Saccharomyces cerevisiae S288C: one gene and its partners. Changing the gene in region 3 together with the main gene of any one other region gives a genetic interaction. Each region holds a gene or a part of one and is shown on either strand. Other genes may lie near its edges. The genes, in order: PHO91, MXR1, GIS3 and VAC7.

Region 1 (5,082 bases), on a different chromosome or scaffold from region 3:
ATACCATGGAAAACGTTATTGCCTGTCAATTCGATCAAGTTACAGCTGTTAATATTATTCGATCTGGCGATTGTTTTATGAAGTCTTTGAGAAAGACGATCCCCAATATCACAATTGGTAAATTGTTGATTCAGTCCGATTCACAAACTGGGGAACCTCAACTGCATTGCGAATTTTTACCCCCAAATATAGAAAAGTTTGGCAAGGTTTTCTTAATGGAAGGTCAAATCATAAGTGGTGCGGCCATGATCATGGCCATCCAGGTGCTTTTAGATCATGGTATTGATTTGGAAAAGATTAGCGTGGTGGTTTATTTGGCCACTGAAGTTGGTATCCGACGTATATTAAATGCATTTGATAACAAAGTCAACATTTTTGCTGGTATGATCATCTCCAGAGAAAAGTTACAAAATCATCAATACAAATGGGCATTGACCAGATTTTTTGATTCAAAGTATTTTGGTTGTGATTGAGAATAATTAGAGGCAATATAAAGTAAAATTAAATAATAGTGCACGTATACATACTATATTAGTAACCTTTCATTCTCTCTATGGATAATCTTAAAATCCCATTACTTTCAATATGCCATAACCTACTGTAACAATAGCGGCATAACTTAACAAACTGGCTGGTACACCTCTCGTAATAAATGTACCCACGGTCAAATATCTATCACCAACTTCATCAATCATTGAAATGGCAGTCACGTTGGGGAAACCAGAGGTTGGAAGACCCATAGCACTAGAGCATAATAGGGCGGCTATAACGATCAATAGTCTAGAATGATCACCTGAAGGTAGATTGGAACCGATCTCACTCATTAATGGTACGATGATCATTGCCGCGACGGTATGGGAGACAAAAGTGGCCATTACAAGAATCACTAGACCGAAGATCAACACAATAATGAAGATTGGTTCATGCTCAACCTGCGCCTTAATTAACTGTGCCATTGTAGACAATAAACCGGATGAGCTTACCGCCTTACCTAGGGTGGTACCTCCCATGGCCAAAACAACGATTGTCCACATGAAATTATTGAAATCATCCGAAGTTAGAAGACCTGTACCGAAGAAGACTACTATAGGTATAATAGATATGATTCCCATTTCACCAAAGATACCGGAGATTTGGTTTGAAAGACACCAAAGAACAATTGTTATAATGCAAACTAAAGTGACAAACCATTGCTTCAGAGTGAATGGATCACGGGATGGATGCAATTGCAAAATTTTCACATTTGGCTCAGGAGGGAAGGTTATGATCAATAGCACCCAAATTGCCATGACACAAATAAAGCACACAGGTAGCGCAATCATAAACCATTCAGCCCAAGATGGTGAAGGGTCCATTATACCAATAGAAAAAATGTTTTGAGGAGAAGCGATGGGAGAAGACATACCACCGATATTGGAGGCAAGAGCGATACCAAGAATTAGAGCTTTGGCATAGGAACAATTTCTTGGCAGTGTTCTGAGCAAAGGTTGAACAATTGAATAGCAAAGAACGGGGGCAGCAACATTAGAAACCCACATGGAAACAAAGAGCGCCACAAACATATTTGTTAAAAGAATAAAATGTGGGTTTGTACCGGCGGATGCCAAAATATGCGTAGAAAGGACTTTGGCAATGTTGTACTTGGAAAGGGCGGCTGCTAAAGTAAACCCACCCAGCAAAAGCATGATGACACTCGACCACATCGTTGATAAGATGAACTGAGAGGAATCACGGGGAGACATTGGTTGGGAGGTGATAGGGTCCTTGATAACAGGGAACACTACAATAAGCAGAGGAATCATTAGAGAAGTCACGAAAAGGGGGATGGTCTCAGTGGCCCATAATAAAGATGCATATATTAAGATGGCGAAACAGTTTTTCTGTAAGGAATCCTGCGTAAAAGGAGTCAAATTAAAAGTTAATAATGCAATGAAACATGAGGTGATTAACAGAAACTTCAGCAGGGAAGTTTGGCCCATGATAAATTGCAACCATTGCTTGGGTGGTAAATGCATGAGTTCACGGAAAGTTAGGGAATCCGTTGATGGAGCGATGATACCGGCGCCACCACTCGACATTGCCATGGATTCAGTAATGTTGGCATTGGGGCGCAATTGACTGGAACTCAACTTTGAAAACTTCTTGTTGTCAGTCTTGGCAGATTGGTACTTTCTCTCCAAATTCATCATATCTTTCCAAACGGTGTTTCTTTCCCAAACTACGTGATCTCTCAAATGAGAGGATAATTCACGCTCAGCATCCTGGAAATCGAGGACTTCTTGTCTGTTGCCATCTTCGTCTTCTTCATTACCGCTGCTGTTTTCGTCATTGTTGATTCGGTCAGCGTCCAAGTTAAACGTATTAGATGGTCGACGCGTGCCCTTGTTCAAGCTAGCGTAAGTGAGGATGGTCTCGGTAATGTGATGCTGAATCCTATTTATTGTAGCAGGATTGAAAACATGCGAATGGAATTTGATATAGTTCAAGTAGTTCTGCTTCAAGTTCGTATTTAAGGACTTGTCAAATTTCTTGCAGATCTTGGAGAACCCGGTCTGGTTCAACTCAATAAAGTCCTTCAACTCGGACAACTGGGTGTAGATCGATATCAATCTTTTCTTTAAAGAGAGCCTATGTTGGGTAAAAGGAGAAAGATACACAGGGTTAGAGTTAGAAAGCGACACTGAAGCGGAGGCCAGGTTTTGCATTGAGTTACCATTATTAGTCGTGTTCGAGACCTGCGTGTGGATGACGGGTGCAGAGTCAATCGACATGTCTGTCAGAGAGGGGTTGGAGTCCGTGGAGGAGACACTACTAAACCTTCTTTGGCGTTGTTGTGACTTAGACTTCCTGTTTCTTGCAACACTTTGCAGTTGATGCTGTTGCTGCTGATTAAACAATTGGGTGGCCTTGTTCGTGTTTTCCAGTTCCATGACATCGTCCTTCAATTCGTTGTAGTTGGCGATAAGACCTGTTTCTTGAGATATGTAGAATTTATCAATTTTTTTCAATTCTTGGTTTAAGGCAGCAACAAATTTAGAGATGTAGAATTGATCATCTGGAGAAGCATCTGCCAATAGCGGCAGATTTTCATCGTTGGCGTCATGTGGCTCCACAACATGGTGCTTATTGTTACTGTACAGCTTATCTTTTTGCAAAGAATAGATCAATTTTTTCAGCTGCGAATAGGCCAGATACTTGGTAGACCATTCTGGTACAGAATTGAATTGTAAGGAATGCGAGAACTTCATGTCAGTCTGCAAGTTACCGTGTCACCTTCACAGTTTTCTTTTTATTTGACTAAGTAAAAAAAGAAAAGAAGTTATTTTTACTAAGATTTTGAGCGGCATTTTTCCTAGTTACTTATCAATTTTCATACATGCAAGACATACTCAATTTTTTTTTTTTTTTTTCAGTTTTAAAATTAGTCCTGATCAAAAAGCCATCACGTGGATCCCCGAAAAAAAACGGATCCGGGTAACCAGAAGTATTTTTTTCAAGGGAATAAAAGTTACCCTACCAAAATAAAAAAATTCAAGTAGGGTAATAAAGTTCCACCCCCCATCAGGATTATCGTTCTCTGACATCACCCACTCTCTGCTCGCTCTCTGCTCGCTCTCTGCTTTCTTTCCCCACGCCGGAGTGATTAAGGCGGATAGGCCCACCTGAACACCTCGCTCAGAACATCAGCGAGAGTTCCAGCCCCTCTACCCCTTACCTCTCGCCGCCCCTCATTTCGGATCAAAAGCAAAAGAACAAAGGGCCTTCGCAGAAACGGAAGGTTTCGACCCCTCGGTGCCGTTTTAATTTCTTTTTCTGGCCAGTTAAGCTTTTTGACTTTCTCGAATCAGCCCAGTGCAAAACAGTACGCATACGAGCACACAAATGTATATATATGTGTATGTATATATGTATATAGGTATGTGTGTGTACATCCGAAGCGTAAACTAATGATCTGCAAGTTTCAGATTTTTTCTCGAAAAATATAACTAATAAACGTTCCATGTCGTCCACGGATATCAAGCCTTGTGCCGTGAACATCCCTGTTTCCGCTCACATCACCTTCCACTACAAGTCGATCGCGGACAGAAGCAGCAGCAGGAGCAGCAGCAGCAGCTCCTGCTCCTCTGCTACATCTAAAGCCTGCTCCCCCAGAGGCAGCTCCGTCGGCTTACCGCCTGCTTTATCAACTGACAATGAAATCGTCGAGACTGTACTTAATGTTTCCGCTCCCGTTGTAGCAGACCCTACGCGGCCCTCATTGTTCAAGAGTAACTACACCGCAGCCTCGTGCTTGACTTCTGACCCAACCTCGCCGTCACTACTGCCCTCTTCTAGGCGCAACTCTGTATTGCCGGCAAGCGACTTCCACCAATGCGCGCATCACAAAAACTTTCAAAGAAGGGCCAGTGAGCCACAACTGCCCTCCTTCGATAATCGCTCGTCGTCCGAGATGAAAAGGTCCGTCTCGTACGCCCAGCATAGCATGATGTTCCCCATCAGTGACCAACAGGAGCCGCAAACATCCGCGTCTCCTAACGACCACTCAGACCCGTCTTGTCCTTGCAACAGACATCACCACAGAAGAAACTCGGTCGCCGTCAAGTTTGACAAACCATTGTATGAGAGACTAGAGACGTAGTTATCCATTCGTCCATCCATCTGTCTATCGTCACACAGCATTTCCCATCCCTCCTCTATACATACATACATATACAGTTCTGCGTGGTCTACGCAGCCATGTATATATATATTTCCGTCGTTTTATATATTCATTACTAAAATCGACAATGCATTTTTTGCCGCTTTCCATTTCCTCTACTTTGCTCATCACTTCGCTCGAAGAAAAAATGAAAACCGTCTTGAAAAACTTTTGCTATTTCATCCATCCAAGCCACACCAAATAGCGCAGTCACACAGAGATCATGGTTACATATGCTGGAAAACTGGTTCTAGCTCCAATGGTAAGAGCCGGCGAACTGCCCACGAGACTGATGGCGCTGGCCCACGGTGCAGATCTCGTCTGGTCCCCAGAAATCATCGACAAAAAGCTAATTCAGTGCGTCAGGAAGGAAAACACTGCAC
Region 2 (2,799 bases), on a different chromosome or scaffold from region 3:
TCAAATTGCTTTGTTCAAGTCTAACGATAAGTCTTTCAGAGAAAAGCACATTGAATTCCAAAAGACAGGCCCATTCGAAGTTGGTGTCCACGTTTTGCCAAAGATCTTGGATGAAGCTGTCGCTAAGTTCCACTTGGGCAACTTGGGTGTTAGATTGACTAAATTGAGTAAAGTCCAATCTGAATACTTGGGTATTCCAGAAGAAGGTCCATTCAAGGCCGACCACTACAGATATTGATCAATTCAATTCCCATTTCAGTTCTTCTTTCTCACTATTTTTTAATGTTCAAAAACTCAACGGTTTGATCATCAAAAAAGATCATAAATAAATTGCAAATATAAAAACAACAGCTAACAATCCTATCACAGTATTAATACTAATACATGTGATACTAAGTTACGTTATCGAAAAGATAGATCCTGTATACCTATATATATAATAAATTCTTCAACAGTAAATATTTCATTCATGCACTTGACTTTTTTTCATAAATAAGGGCACGTACACTAAAAAAGCTACATTTCTCTCAGATAATGAGTAGGGCATGCATATCCCTGTGGATTCTTATCTAAATATAACTGGTGGTATTCTTCAGCATCGTAAAAGTTCTTGATTGGTTCAATAACTGTGGCAATCTTATTACCCCATTTTGGTTGCCATTCTTCCTTTATTTTGGCTAATTCTTTTAAATCAGCATCTGAATGAGCGAACAATCCACTGCGATACTGTGTACCTTTATCAGGTCCTTGTGAATTAGATGTAGTAGGATCATGGATTCTAAAAAAGAAATCAGTTAATTCTCTCAAAGTTATCACTTTGGGATTATAGGATACTTGTAAAACCTCCGCAAAATCTGTGTCACCACCACAAACTCTCTTATAAGAGACACTAGAGGGGCTATCCTTTTTAGACTCTTCTCCATTAGCGTAACCTACTTTACAATCCACTATACGGTCATTCAAATACTTCCTATACATATGTTCTGTACCCCAAAAACATCCACATGCTAATGTGATTAATTTATCCTTGGCTGGATCATACTTAATGGTTTTTGAAATAAGCGACGACATTGCAACTTGATTTACTTGTTAAGTTTTTGACGTTAGAATATAACTGTCTTTCCAATTAAATCTATATATATGATATTGAAAAATGTGTCTCTGTCTACTCTTGTTTATATATGCCCTTCATTTTACTCATCGCAACTCCCTCGTTTTCGGCGCGATCAACTGTGGTGGCGGATTTTTTGACGCTGTGCCCGTTAACTCATTCAATAGTGCTACTGCTATCACTGTCACAGGCTACAAACCGGTCGACTGTATCTTGTGCGTCTGTGACAAGTTGGTCAAGGACAGAGGAGTGTTCTCTTTCTAACCTTGGAGCAGTCAAGTTTGGAGGCAACATCTTAGTACCTTGAAGGCGAGCATTGATTGTGATGCTTGAGCGTGATTTTAAACCAGACTCAGGCGGATTTTTCTCAGCATTAGTAGTTCTTGACTTTTTTATTGGTGATATTTCTATTACGTCCTTCCAAACGTCAACCTGTTCGTCCTGTGTAAGATCCCGAATTCTTTTACCGGGTGAACTATCTAAAACGCTTTGGCTGTTTGTAATCTCATCTACAAAAATCAACGAATCATCGTCATTATCGCTGTGTTCATCGACGGTGGTCAGTCTTGTGGGAGCCGGTATTTCTTCCAGACTAGTATCTTCGTCTGTATCTACAAAAAGCCTTTTTCTCACAGGTTCCAGGATTTCCTTTCTCGACTCGCCTACCTTTCCGATACTTTTAATCGGCGAAGTATGCTTTCTTAAAAACTCATCCAAGTTATTCTTCTGTGGTAGCCGAGACTTATTCGATTTTTTACCTTTCTTCTCTTTTTCTTTCTGTATAAGTTGCTGTGTCTCATAATATTGAATTACTAATGGATGCGATTGAGGTATCAAGTATTTGGGTAACCAAAGACTATTTGGGTGTTCCATTATATCCATCTGACGTCGTGTGGGACTCTTGCTTCTACTGGGAGAATTACTGCGCTTCAAAGGAGATTGAGAAGAAATGGGTATATTAGGCAAGAATGTTGTATACCGTATTTTAAAACATGGTATTTGGAACTTTCCACCATCTATGTTCATAATTTTTTCTTCGGTAATCCTCATATTACCTTTACCTATATTATCGGACTCATCAATTGATAAAAATTCTCTTAATAGAAACATCTCGTGCATAGAATCATGAAACCACTTGTCGAAGCTAGAAATTTGAGGCAAATTCAAACTTTGTAAAAAATATTTCAGTTCATTGAAATTTAAGTTTCTGTAGTGTCCGTTTCCAGCCATATTTATGTATTTATCACTGAGAACTTCTTCATCAAAATATGGTTGGACAATGGGGTGAAAATAGTGCATGATTGCGACAGTTGATGGCCAGCCTTCAAATGAACCTTGATTCAATAAAACAGGATAATTTCTTCCAAATAGCTCGACAGAATGATCCTTGCAGTATAAATATAATCTTTTTTGAAACAATCTATACCGAGACTTCCTCAGACTTTCTGATGTCAAATCTTCTAAATTGAAATCTTTGAAAATGTCATAAAATTCCATGGAAAAGTTAGGATCTTCGCATTGAGCCAACTGCAAAGATTTGTTTTTACCCAAACCCTTGACTCCACGATTGTAATCGGCACCTAATAGCACGCTGAAAAATAAGAGAGACAGGCGATCAAACTTCTTCCCTGCTACTTTATTAATTTTGGGTAGATCTATAACAGTAACAAAAGATTCTTTACTATCAT
Region 3 (3,853 bases):
TATATTCGGCAAAACTTTTGGCCAACAGAGAAAAGGAGAGAGCAATTGCGGAGCTAATGACAAGGAGGAAAAGATCTTCGAGACTGGTAGCGAAAGAGGAAGAAAACAAGAAAAAAGACTTGGAAAGTGAGTGGTTTGAAAAACTAGATGAAAGAGAACAATTTATAAGGCACAGAAACAAGCTAGTGTCGAAGGAAATCAAAAAGATAAAAGATCTTCTTTGGAACCAATTGTGGCAATTGTACGATCAAGATTATAGAGATGAAAAATTGACCAGGCGTAACGAGCTCAAAGATAGAAGTGGTTCTGGTACACCGTTTTTTGAAACGTCTTTGGGCAGGGAGGAGGACAATCCCTTAAATGAAATCGATATCGGAGTTCTTGATCACGGCCCTAACTTTCAATCTAGTATAATCCCGGTGGAACCACCAATTCCTGGAACTGTTGGGCCACTACAGACGGGAGACGTCCCTGAATTGCCTAGTGACTTCTGCATAACAAAGGAAGAGCTAGATGAGCTTGCCAACTACGGGATCTTTACTCCGCAGCAAGAGCCCGACAACCAAGATTCTGTTTTCCAATGTCCGGGCGAACCAGAGCTGGCGCCCATGATTATCACCGAAGACACGGAGACTGACCTCTTCAATAACCGCCCATTGATATGCTGTGATCATTGTTACAGGTGGCAGCATTGGGAATGCCAACCTCCAAAAATTATAGAGCTTATATCTTCAACCACAAAATCCCCACAGCACACGCTGTCGCAACGTGATTTTGGCGTCATCATAATGGGAAATTCGCACGGCAATAGAAGGTCTTCTCGCAGACCCCAATCCACACTTGAACCCAGCACCAAGTCTTCAAGACCTACTGATAAACGCAAACCGCTGTCTGAATGCTCCACTTTTATCTGCGCTTGGTGCATCAGGGACTTGGAACTTGAGCTGCGCAACATTTTTGTGCCTGAATTGAAAATAATAAGGGCCAAACAAAGAAAACAACAGGAAGACCGTGAAAGAAGAAAAAAAATGAAGGAAGAAAAGAAAAGGCTCGAAGAGCTTGCAAAGAAAAGGGAACTAACCGAGTCTGTCTCACCTCCAGTGTTTAATAATGCATTTGCAAACATGTCAAGTAGCACAACGCCTAGTATCGCCGCTTACGAAAAAACAAATCCAGCCATCAATCCAGCACCTAATGTAAATGCCGCTCACCCCATAATTACATACTCGCAGCAAACTGGCAGCAAAACTGTACCACAAGCACCACAGGCACCACAAACATCACAAGCATCAATCCAACCACAGCAGCAACAGCAACAGCAACAGCAACAGCAACCGCTGCACCCTAAAGAACAGAACTTTCACTTCCAGTTCCCACCAACCAACTAGCCTCATATAGAAATACACAGCAAAAGTATATAGTAAAATATATATCAACTGGTTCTTCATGAAACTTTCTTTTCCAGCCGCACATCCGTAGGGCTTCTGTCGCTTCATGTCGGGTAATAATGATGCTTAGGGCTTAGCGCCAAAATAATTAGGGTGTATGAGGCGGCTCCTGACTAGGGTCAGACGGCATTTTTTCGTCTTTTTTTATCCGGTTTTTCGTCAGTGGCCATCCTTAATGCGCGGCAAAGGTGCTGAAGGCGCCTTATTGTGTTAAAAAAGCCAATGAAATAAAAGTGGGATGGTGAGAACGCCAAACGAGTGAAACAGAGAATGGAAACTCGCTTCTTCACAAGTATTTGATGGCTAGTTTTCTCAATTACTTGTTTCTTTGGATAGACACGAACATACAGAACACTTTCAACAAGACATAATTATAGAATGCTGCTGGACGTGAACACAAATCACACACTAATGCACGATGCTCATGTGCATGAACATTGCCTCATCAAAAGCATACGTGATGATGGCGCATTGCACTCATGGAGCGACTCATCAAAGGTATTTTATCCCAAGTCATTTTACGCTACCGCTACTAATAAGAAGAATAACAAGTTAGCCAGCGCCAGCATGAACAAGACCGCCACAAGTAATAGGACGGTGAGCGATGAGATTTATTTCCACTCCACTAAGCCGCAGTTCGATGGTCAAGGAAGCGCTGAACGTACTAGAACACTAACCAAGAGGAATAGCTTCAAGAGGACTAGAATACTGAAGGCTCGAGACGATTCCGAACTGCTGAACGAAAATCGCTCATCTTTGATGACCCCGTCCTTAAGCTCGGTCATGTCGCAAGTTAGGAAAACAAATTCCGCCAAGACGTTATCGGGCGAATGCCCCATACATGAGGGCCACTTAACACAGAGCATAAAGAGGAAGTTCTCCGAGGAAGCTCAAAGCGACTGTTCTTCATTGAGCTCCTCTAAACTTCATCCCTTGACAGATGATATTGCTGACGCTGTCGATTTGCAGACCCCCGCGATTGGCGATGAGGTACTGGCTGAGCCGGTCGTGCCCAAAATGAAAATAATAAACATAAATGATCTCGATTTGTTCGACGACTGGGAGGTTAAGGATTTAGTCGATATCTTTCCTCCCGTATACGAACGGCGTCCGCGATCGTCCTCTGCCCTTTCACTGGTTTCTGCGTCGTCCGATGCCAAACTTCGTCCGACCTCTGTGGACTTCCAAATCATCGACAAGAAAGGCGGCAAGACTTCAAGAAGGAAGAGTAGGAGCAAATCGACTACAGAAAACATGATTTACGAAAATGACCTGGTAGAATTAGAACAATGGCCATCTGCATCACCATCGCCCGAGACCGACGGTTCGATTGCATCTAGCGAGCTCTTGCCCAATAAAAGAATAAGACAAAAAAGTTTGAATACCAATTTCCTAAAGTTATACTCTATTGAAACATCATGTAAAAGGAAGAGTATTTTACCCGAAGTCGAAGTAGATGACCATCTGTTGAAGCAGCTAACGTATTCCGAAATTCGGTCTTTGGAAATCAAAAAGGAGCCAAATGTCTCTACGAACGATATTAAGCTTGCCCTAATTACTAGGAAAAAATTATGGTCTGACATGGTCCATGAAACAAGAAATGATCTTTTTGGCGATTCTACCCCCTGGAATTTGCACTTTGTTGCAACGACAAGCAATACGGAACCTTCGCAAGGCCGTGAATCCGCAAGCGAACATGCAACGGCGGATTTGAAAAGTTCTTTGGTCCGCGTACACTCAGACGTCAAGCCATGGTTCAACAATGGCGGCACAATGCTCAAACCATGCGGAAAACTAAATTTAGGCAAAGTCACCAATAAGACTTCCGCACCTACGAGAGAGATTCAATATGTCGTAAAGGGCTGGTGTGACAGCAGGTTTCTCTGATAGACCCCCCACCTTTTCATCGCCTTCACCCCACCCATTTGCATTATCTAAAAATAGTAAACTATATATTCTACCACCACATTCATTATATATAATATTTAAAACAACGCATTACCACCAAGCGCCCGGGTAATATTCGCCTCAAACGATCGAAGAAAGAAAAAATGAGGTCACAATAATGATGAAAAAAAGCCCCTCTATGAATTTTCTAGCACTTGACTAAGTTGGAGCAACAGCTATTAAATTTGAAGAACAGAGTGAAAAGCGACAATTTATTAAGCTGTTAGAGCATTGGACTTTTATATTTTTACCAAATGAAACGCTTTAATGGTATGTATAAATATTTCTACACAATTAACAAATGTTTAAAAAAGGGATTATGCGAATGCTCATCCCCCCATGCCATAATTTTACTATGTTACATTCAGTAGACTAACGTTCCATTTTGCTTGATTTTGCATATGGTCTTAGTAAGTTATGTGGAAGTTATAAAAAATGGTGAAACAATATCTAGTTGT
Region 4 (5,781 bases), on a different chromosome or scaffold from region 3:
AAAGGCTTCGTTAACATGCACTTCAACTACAGAAGCAGAAATACACGCAGTCAGTGAAGCTATTCCGCTATTGAATAACCTCAGTCACCTTGTGCAAGAACTTAACAAGAAACCAATTATTAAAGGCTTACTTACTGATAGTAGATCAACGATCAGTATAATTAAGTCTACAAATGAAGAGAAATTTAGAAACAGATTTTTTGGCACAAAGGCAATGAGACTTAGAGATGAAGTATCAGGTAATAATTTATACGTATACTACATCGAGACCAAGAAGAACATTGCTGATGTGATGACAAAACCTCTTCCGATAAAAACATTTAAACTATTAACTAACAAATGGATTCATTAGATCTATTACATTATGGGTGGTATGTTGGAATAAAAATCAACTATCATCTACTAACTAGTATTTACGTTACTAGTATATTATCATATACGGTGTTAGAAGATGACGCAAATGATGAGAAATAGTCATCTAAATTAGTGGAAGCTGAAACGCAAGGATTGATAATGTAATAGGATCAATGAATATTAACATATAAAACGATGATAATAATATTTATAGAATTGTGTAGAATTACAGATTTCCTTTTATGGATTCCTAAATCCTCGAGGAGAACTTCTAGTATATTCTGTATACCTAATATTATAGCCTTTATCAACAATGGAATCCCAACAATTATCTCAACATTCACCCATTTCTCAAAACTATCACGGAATACTAATCGAAGACTAGTGACGCACGTTACGCTATAGCAACAACGTCACAAGGATAACGTTAGTAGTTTTTTGGAAGGACAATTGCAAACTATATGTAAACGAACGAAGACACACAGTCCAAAGCTGTAACAACAACCACATATATAAATGGTAGTCTTCTAGGAAACTTCACTGTAAGATTAGATACGTAGAGGTGAAAGACAAGTTGAAGTTTGGATCGGAAGTTCCATTAATATTTGGGTAAGTAAGTTCGCCGCGCGGCAGAAACGGTGAGTACTTACTCACTTTTGTTCTAACTACAACAAAAAACTGTAAAAGTGGTGTAAGGTTTACGTTCCGTTTTGGTTGCAAATCATCAGCCCTGGTTTAAGCTTTATGTCCAACATTGGTTAGCGAAGGCACCGTACTGGTCTCGATGTCGGTGAGCAGGGGCGGCGAAATTCATTCCAATCTTGGATAATATATATGTATATATCTATACACGCGGCGAGATCTTGTCCTCTAATTTCCCTTCGCTAAATCATTAAGAGGTCATTCATGAAGTTAATTCAGCACCAAAGTTGGACTGTTAGACACGAGATACACATTGCAGTCCAAATGTGCAGATTTTTCAGATAATTGTCGTCGCACAAGACTGCCCCTCCCGTCCTCAGACAGACACAAAATTAGATTTTACGTTTACATAAAGATGTACATAACTTGAAAAAACGTTAATCCCTCTTAAATTTAGACCTTGTAAGTCTTCCTGGCCACTCTTTGTGATATATTGTAGTGCAATATATTGATTCGTTCTTCTTATTTCTTTGTTCTTAGGCATTTCCGCTTTAGAAAATTCGTTGGGTGGTTTCTGCGACGGGTATCCCCTTCGATTTTGCATAATGATCTTCAATTCTACAACTAAAATCAAGTAGATACAGGAAAATATTCCATAAATTATAGTGTAAATCGCCCTGTATACACCTTATCGTTTCATCTCAGGCAAGTTAAAGCATTTGGGAAACGTGCTAGATGACAGAAGAAGATAGAAAGCTCACTGTAGAGACAGAAACAGTTGAGGCACCCGTGGCAAATAATCTTTTATTGTCGAATAACAGTAATGTAGTAGCACCTAATCCTTCTATTCCCTCTGCCTCCACATCTACCTCTCCGCTACACAGGGAAATAGTTGATGATTCTGTCGCTACTGCTAACACCACCAGCAACGTTGTACAGCATAATTTGCCCACCATAGATAACAATTTAATGGATTCCGATGCCACGTCACATAATCAAGATCATTGGCATTCAGACATAAACAGGGCAGGAACATCAATGTCAACGAGTGATATCCCAACAGATTTACATTTAGAACATATCGGCTCTGTTTCATCAACTAATAATAATAGTAACAATGCCCTAATCAACCACAACCCTCTGTCATCTCATCTTTCCAATCCGTCATCTTCATTACGAAACAAGAAGAGCTCTTTGTTGGTAGCTTCTAACCCTGCGTTTGCTTCAGATGTTGAACTCTCGAAGAAGAAACCTGCCGTCATCTCCAATAATATGCCTACAAGTAACATTGCCCTTTATCAAACAGCGAGATCGGCGAATATTCATGGTCCATCATCAACTTCCGCATCTAAAGCGTTCAGAAAGGCTTCGGCCTTCTCCAATAACACGGCACCCAGCACTAGTAATAACATCGGCTCGAATACACCTCCAGCTCCTCTTTTACCTCTACCTTCACTATCACAACAAAATAAGCCAAAAATAATAGAGAGGCCCACAATGCACGTCACTAATTCAAGAGAAATACTTTTAGGTGAAAACCTGTTAGATGATACAAAGGCGAAGAATGCTCCCGCGAATTCAACCACACACGATAATGGTCCAGTAGCAAATGATGGGCTGCGTATACCGAATCACTCGAACGCAGATGATAATGAAAATAACAACAAAATGAAGAAGAATAAAAACATTAATAGTGGGAAAAATGAACGTAATGATGACACCAGCAAAATATGCACTACATCTACTAAAACAGCGCCTTCAACCGCACCTTTGGGCAGTACAGACAATACTCAGGCTCTCACTGCTAGTGTCTCCAGCAGTAATGCTGACAATCACAATAATAACAAGAAGAAAACCAGCAGCAACAACAACGGCAATAACAGTAATAGTGCATCCAATAAAACCAATGCCGATATCAAGAATTCTAACGCCGACTTGAGCGCTTCTACCTCTAACAATAATGCAATAAATGACGACTCACATGAGAGTAATTCAGAAAAACCAACAAAGGCGGATTTTTTCGCTGCAAGGCTGGCTACAGCTGTAGGTGAAAATGAAATTAGTGATTCTGAGGAAACATTTGTTTATGAATCGGCAGCTAATTCGACTAAAAACCTAATATTTCCTGACTCCTCCAGCCAGCAGCAGCAGCAGCAACAGCAACCTCCAAAACAACAGCAACAGCAACAAAATCATGGAATAACCTCAAAGATAAGCGCCCCATTGCTAAACAATAACAAAAAATTATTAAGCCGACTGAAAAATTCAAGACATATTAGCACTGGTGCCATATTGAATAACACAATCGCGACTATAAGCACAAATCCGAACTTGAATTCTAATGTGATGCAGAACAATAACAATCTGATGTCGGGACACAATCACCTGGACGAGTTGAGCAGTATAAAACAGGAGCCACCGCATCAATTGCAGCAGCAGCAACCACCAATGGATGTACAATCGGTAGATTCGTATACCTCTGACAACCCAGACAGCAATGTTATTGCCAAGTCGCCTGATAAGAGGTCAAGCTTAGTATCCCTATCTAAAGTTTCTCCACATTTACTTTCATCCACATCAAGCAACGGTAACACAATATCGTGTCCCAATGTTGCCACAAATTCGCAGGAATTGGAACCAAACAATGATATTTCAACGAAGAAATCTCTTTCCAATTCTACTTTGAGACATTCCTCTGCTAATAGAAATTCTAATTATGGTGACAACAAAAGGCCTCTTAGAACAACAGTGTCAAAGATATTTGATTCAAACCCTAATGGAGCTCCTTTACGGAGATACTCTGGGGTACCGGATCACGTTAATCTAGAAGATTACATCGAACAGCCGCATAATTATCCAACAATGCAAAATAGTGTGAAAAAGGATGAATTTTATAACAGCAGGAACAATAAGTTTCCCCATGGTTTAAACTTTTATGGTGATAACAATGTTATTGAAGAGGAAAATAATGGTGACTCGTCTAATGTAAATCGACCGCAACACACTAACCTTCAGCATGAGTTTATTCCAGAAGATAACGAAAGTGATGAAAACGATATTCACTCCATGTTTTATTATAATCATAAGAACGATTTAGAAACAAAACCGCTAATATCCGATTATGGTGAAGATGAAGACGTAGATGATTATGATCGCCCAAATGCTACTTTCAACAGTTACTATGGCTCAGCATCCAACACGCACGAACTTCCATTACATGGAAGGATGCCTTCAAGATCAAATAATGATTACTACGATTTTATGGTTGGCAACAATACTGGCAATAACAACCAATTGAATGAATATACCCCCTTAAGAATGAAACGTGGTCAAAGACACCTATCAAGAACAAACAATAGCATAATGAATGGTAGCATCCATATGAATGGTAACGATGACGTTACCCATTCCAATATCAATAATAACGATATTGTTGGTTACTCACCGCACAACTTTTACTCAAGGAAGTCCCCATTTGTGAAAGTAAAGAATTTTCTTTATCTTGCATTTGTTATATCATCACTATTGATGACAGGATTCATTCTGGGATTTTTATTGGCCACTAATAAAGAACTACAAGATGTAGACGTGGTAGTGATGGATAATGTGATTTCAAGTTCGGACGAGTTGATCTTCGACATCACAGTAAGTGCTTTTAATCCAGGATTCTTCAGTATAAGCGTTTCCCAAGTCGATTTGGACATTTTTGCAAAAAGTTCTTACCTGAAGTGCGATTCTAATGGTGACTGTACAGTAATGGAACAGGAACGGAAAATTTTACAAATAACGACAAATCTTTCGTTAGTTGAAGAGAGTGCTAATAATGATATTAGTGGTGGGAACATAGAGACGGTATTACTAGGAACCGCTAAAAAACTAGAGACACCATTAAAGTTCCAGGGCGGCGCATTTAATAGGAACTACGATGTGTCAGTCTCGAGTGTCAAGCTTTTAAGTCCTGGGTCTCGTGAAGCCAAGCACGAAAACGACGATGATGACGATGATGATGGCGACGATGGTGACGATGAAAACAATACTAATGAAAGACAATACAAAAGCAAACCAAATGCTAGAGATGACAAAGAAGATGATACTAAAAAATGGAAGCTACTAATCAAGCATGATTACGAATTGATAGTCCGTGGAAGCATGAAGTATGAGGTGCCCTTTTTCAATACGCAAAAATCTACGGCTATTCAAAAGGATTCCATGGTCCATCCTGGTAAGAAGTGAGTGTTAAGAATGTAGCTTTTTCGTCAAAGCTGGGTATTTTTCTTTTTATAGCGCAGGAGCGGAAGGCAATTTCCAAAACAGGAATGTACTTTCCAAAAAAGGAAAATGTAGTTTGTTTTTTGATGTTTTTTTCTCTTTGACTATTTCAAATTTAGAAGTGAAAAAATACAAAAATGTTACATAGGATTCGATACAGTGTAATATATCATTATTATTACTTTTAAATAAAGCGTTTAGTAAACAAGAGTGAGGGTTATGCAACTCGTTTAGTAAACATTCTTTTTTTTTTCTTCATTTAAGTATAAGACAACAATAGTAGCGGAAGCGATAGTAATACATTTGGTAGCGATAAGTGCACATGCAATTTCACTCAGATAAGCAGCATTTGGACAGTAAAACCGACATCGATTTCAAGCCAAACTCACCGCGTTCCTTACAAAATAGGAATACCAAAAATTTATCTTTAGATATAGCAGCACTCCATCCATTAATGGAATTCTCATCGCCAAGCCAAGATGTGCCAGGTTCAGTAAAATTCCCATCGCCGACACC

Evidence for each region.
Region 1: mutations in GIS3 (region 3) and PHO91 together harm fitness more than expected from each alone (negative genetic interaction), as found in Saccharomyces cerevisiae (one large-scale study listed by BioGRID).
Region 2: mutations in GIS3 (region 3) and MXR1 together harm fitness more than expected from each alone (negative genetic interaction), as found in Saccharomyces cerevisiae (one large-scale study listed by BioGRID).
Region 4: mutations in GIS3 (region 3) and VAC7 together harm fitness more than expected from each alone (negative genetic interaction), as found in Saccharomyces cerevisiae (one large-scale study listed by BioGRID).

Annotation. Positions count from the first base shown.
Region 1 is NC_001146.8:648,465-653,546, forward strand, and holds PHO91 (Pho91p), read right to left. Parts: upstream 3,249-5,082; coding exon 564-3,248; downstream 1-563. Other genes in the region: uridine kinase URK1, read left to right, coding at 1-473; YNR014W (uncharacterized protein), read left to right, coding at 4,001-4,639; SMM1 (tRNA-dihydrouridine(20) synthase (NAD(+))), read left to right, coding at 4,923-5,082. UniProt on the Saccharomyces cerevisiae protein: Vacuolar phosphate transporter that probably exports phosphate from the vacuolar lumen to the cytosol.
Region 2 is NC_001137.3:233,209-236,007, reverse strand, and holds MXR1 (peptide-methionine-S-sulfoxide reductase), read right to left. Parts: upstream 1,072-2,799; coding exon 517-1,071; downstream 1-516. Other genes in the region: SAH1 (adenosylhomocysteinase), read left to right, coding at 1-238; YEN1 (crossover junction endodeoxyribonuclease), read right to left, coding at 1,268-2,799. UniProt on the Saccharomyces cerevisiae protein: Has an important function as a repair enzyme for proteins that have been inactivated by oxidation. Catalyzes the reversible oxidation-reduction of methionine sulfoxide in proteins to methionine.
Region 3 is NC_001144.5:327,212-331,064, reverse strand, and holds GIS3 (Gis3p), read left to right. Parts: upstream 1-1,826; coding exon 1,827-3,335; downstream 3,336-3,853. Other genes in the region: IOC2 (Ioc2p), read left to right, coding at 1-1,388; NYV1 (Nyv1p), read left to right, coding at 3,650-3,665, 3,807-3,853.
Region 4 is NC_001146.8:524,355-530,135, forward strand, and holds VAC7 (Vac7p), read left to right. Parts: upstream 1-1,731; coding exon 1,732-5,229; downstream 5,230-5,781. Other genes in the region: tyrosine/serine/threonine protein phosphatase MSG5, read left to right, coding at 5,588-5,781. UniProt on the Saccharomyces cerevisiae protein: The PI(3,5)P2 regulatory complex regulates both the synthesis and turnover of phosphatidylinositol 3,5-bisphosphate (PtdIns(3,5)P2). Positively regulates FAB1 kinase activity.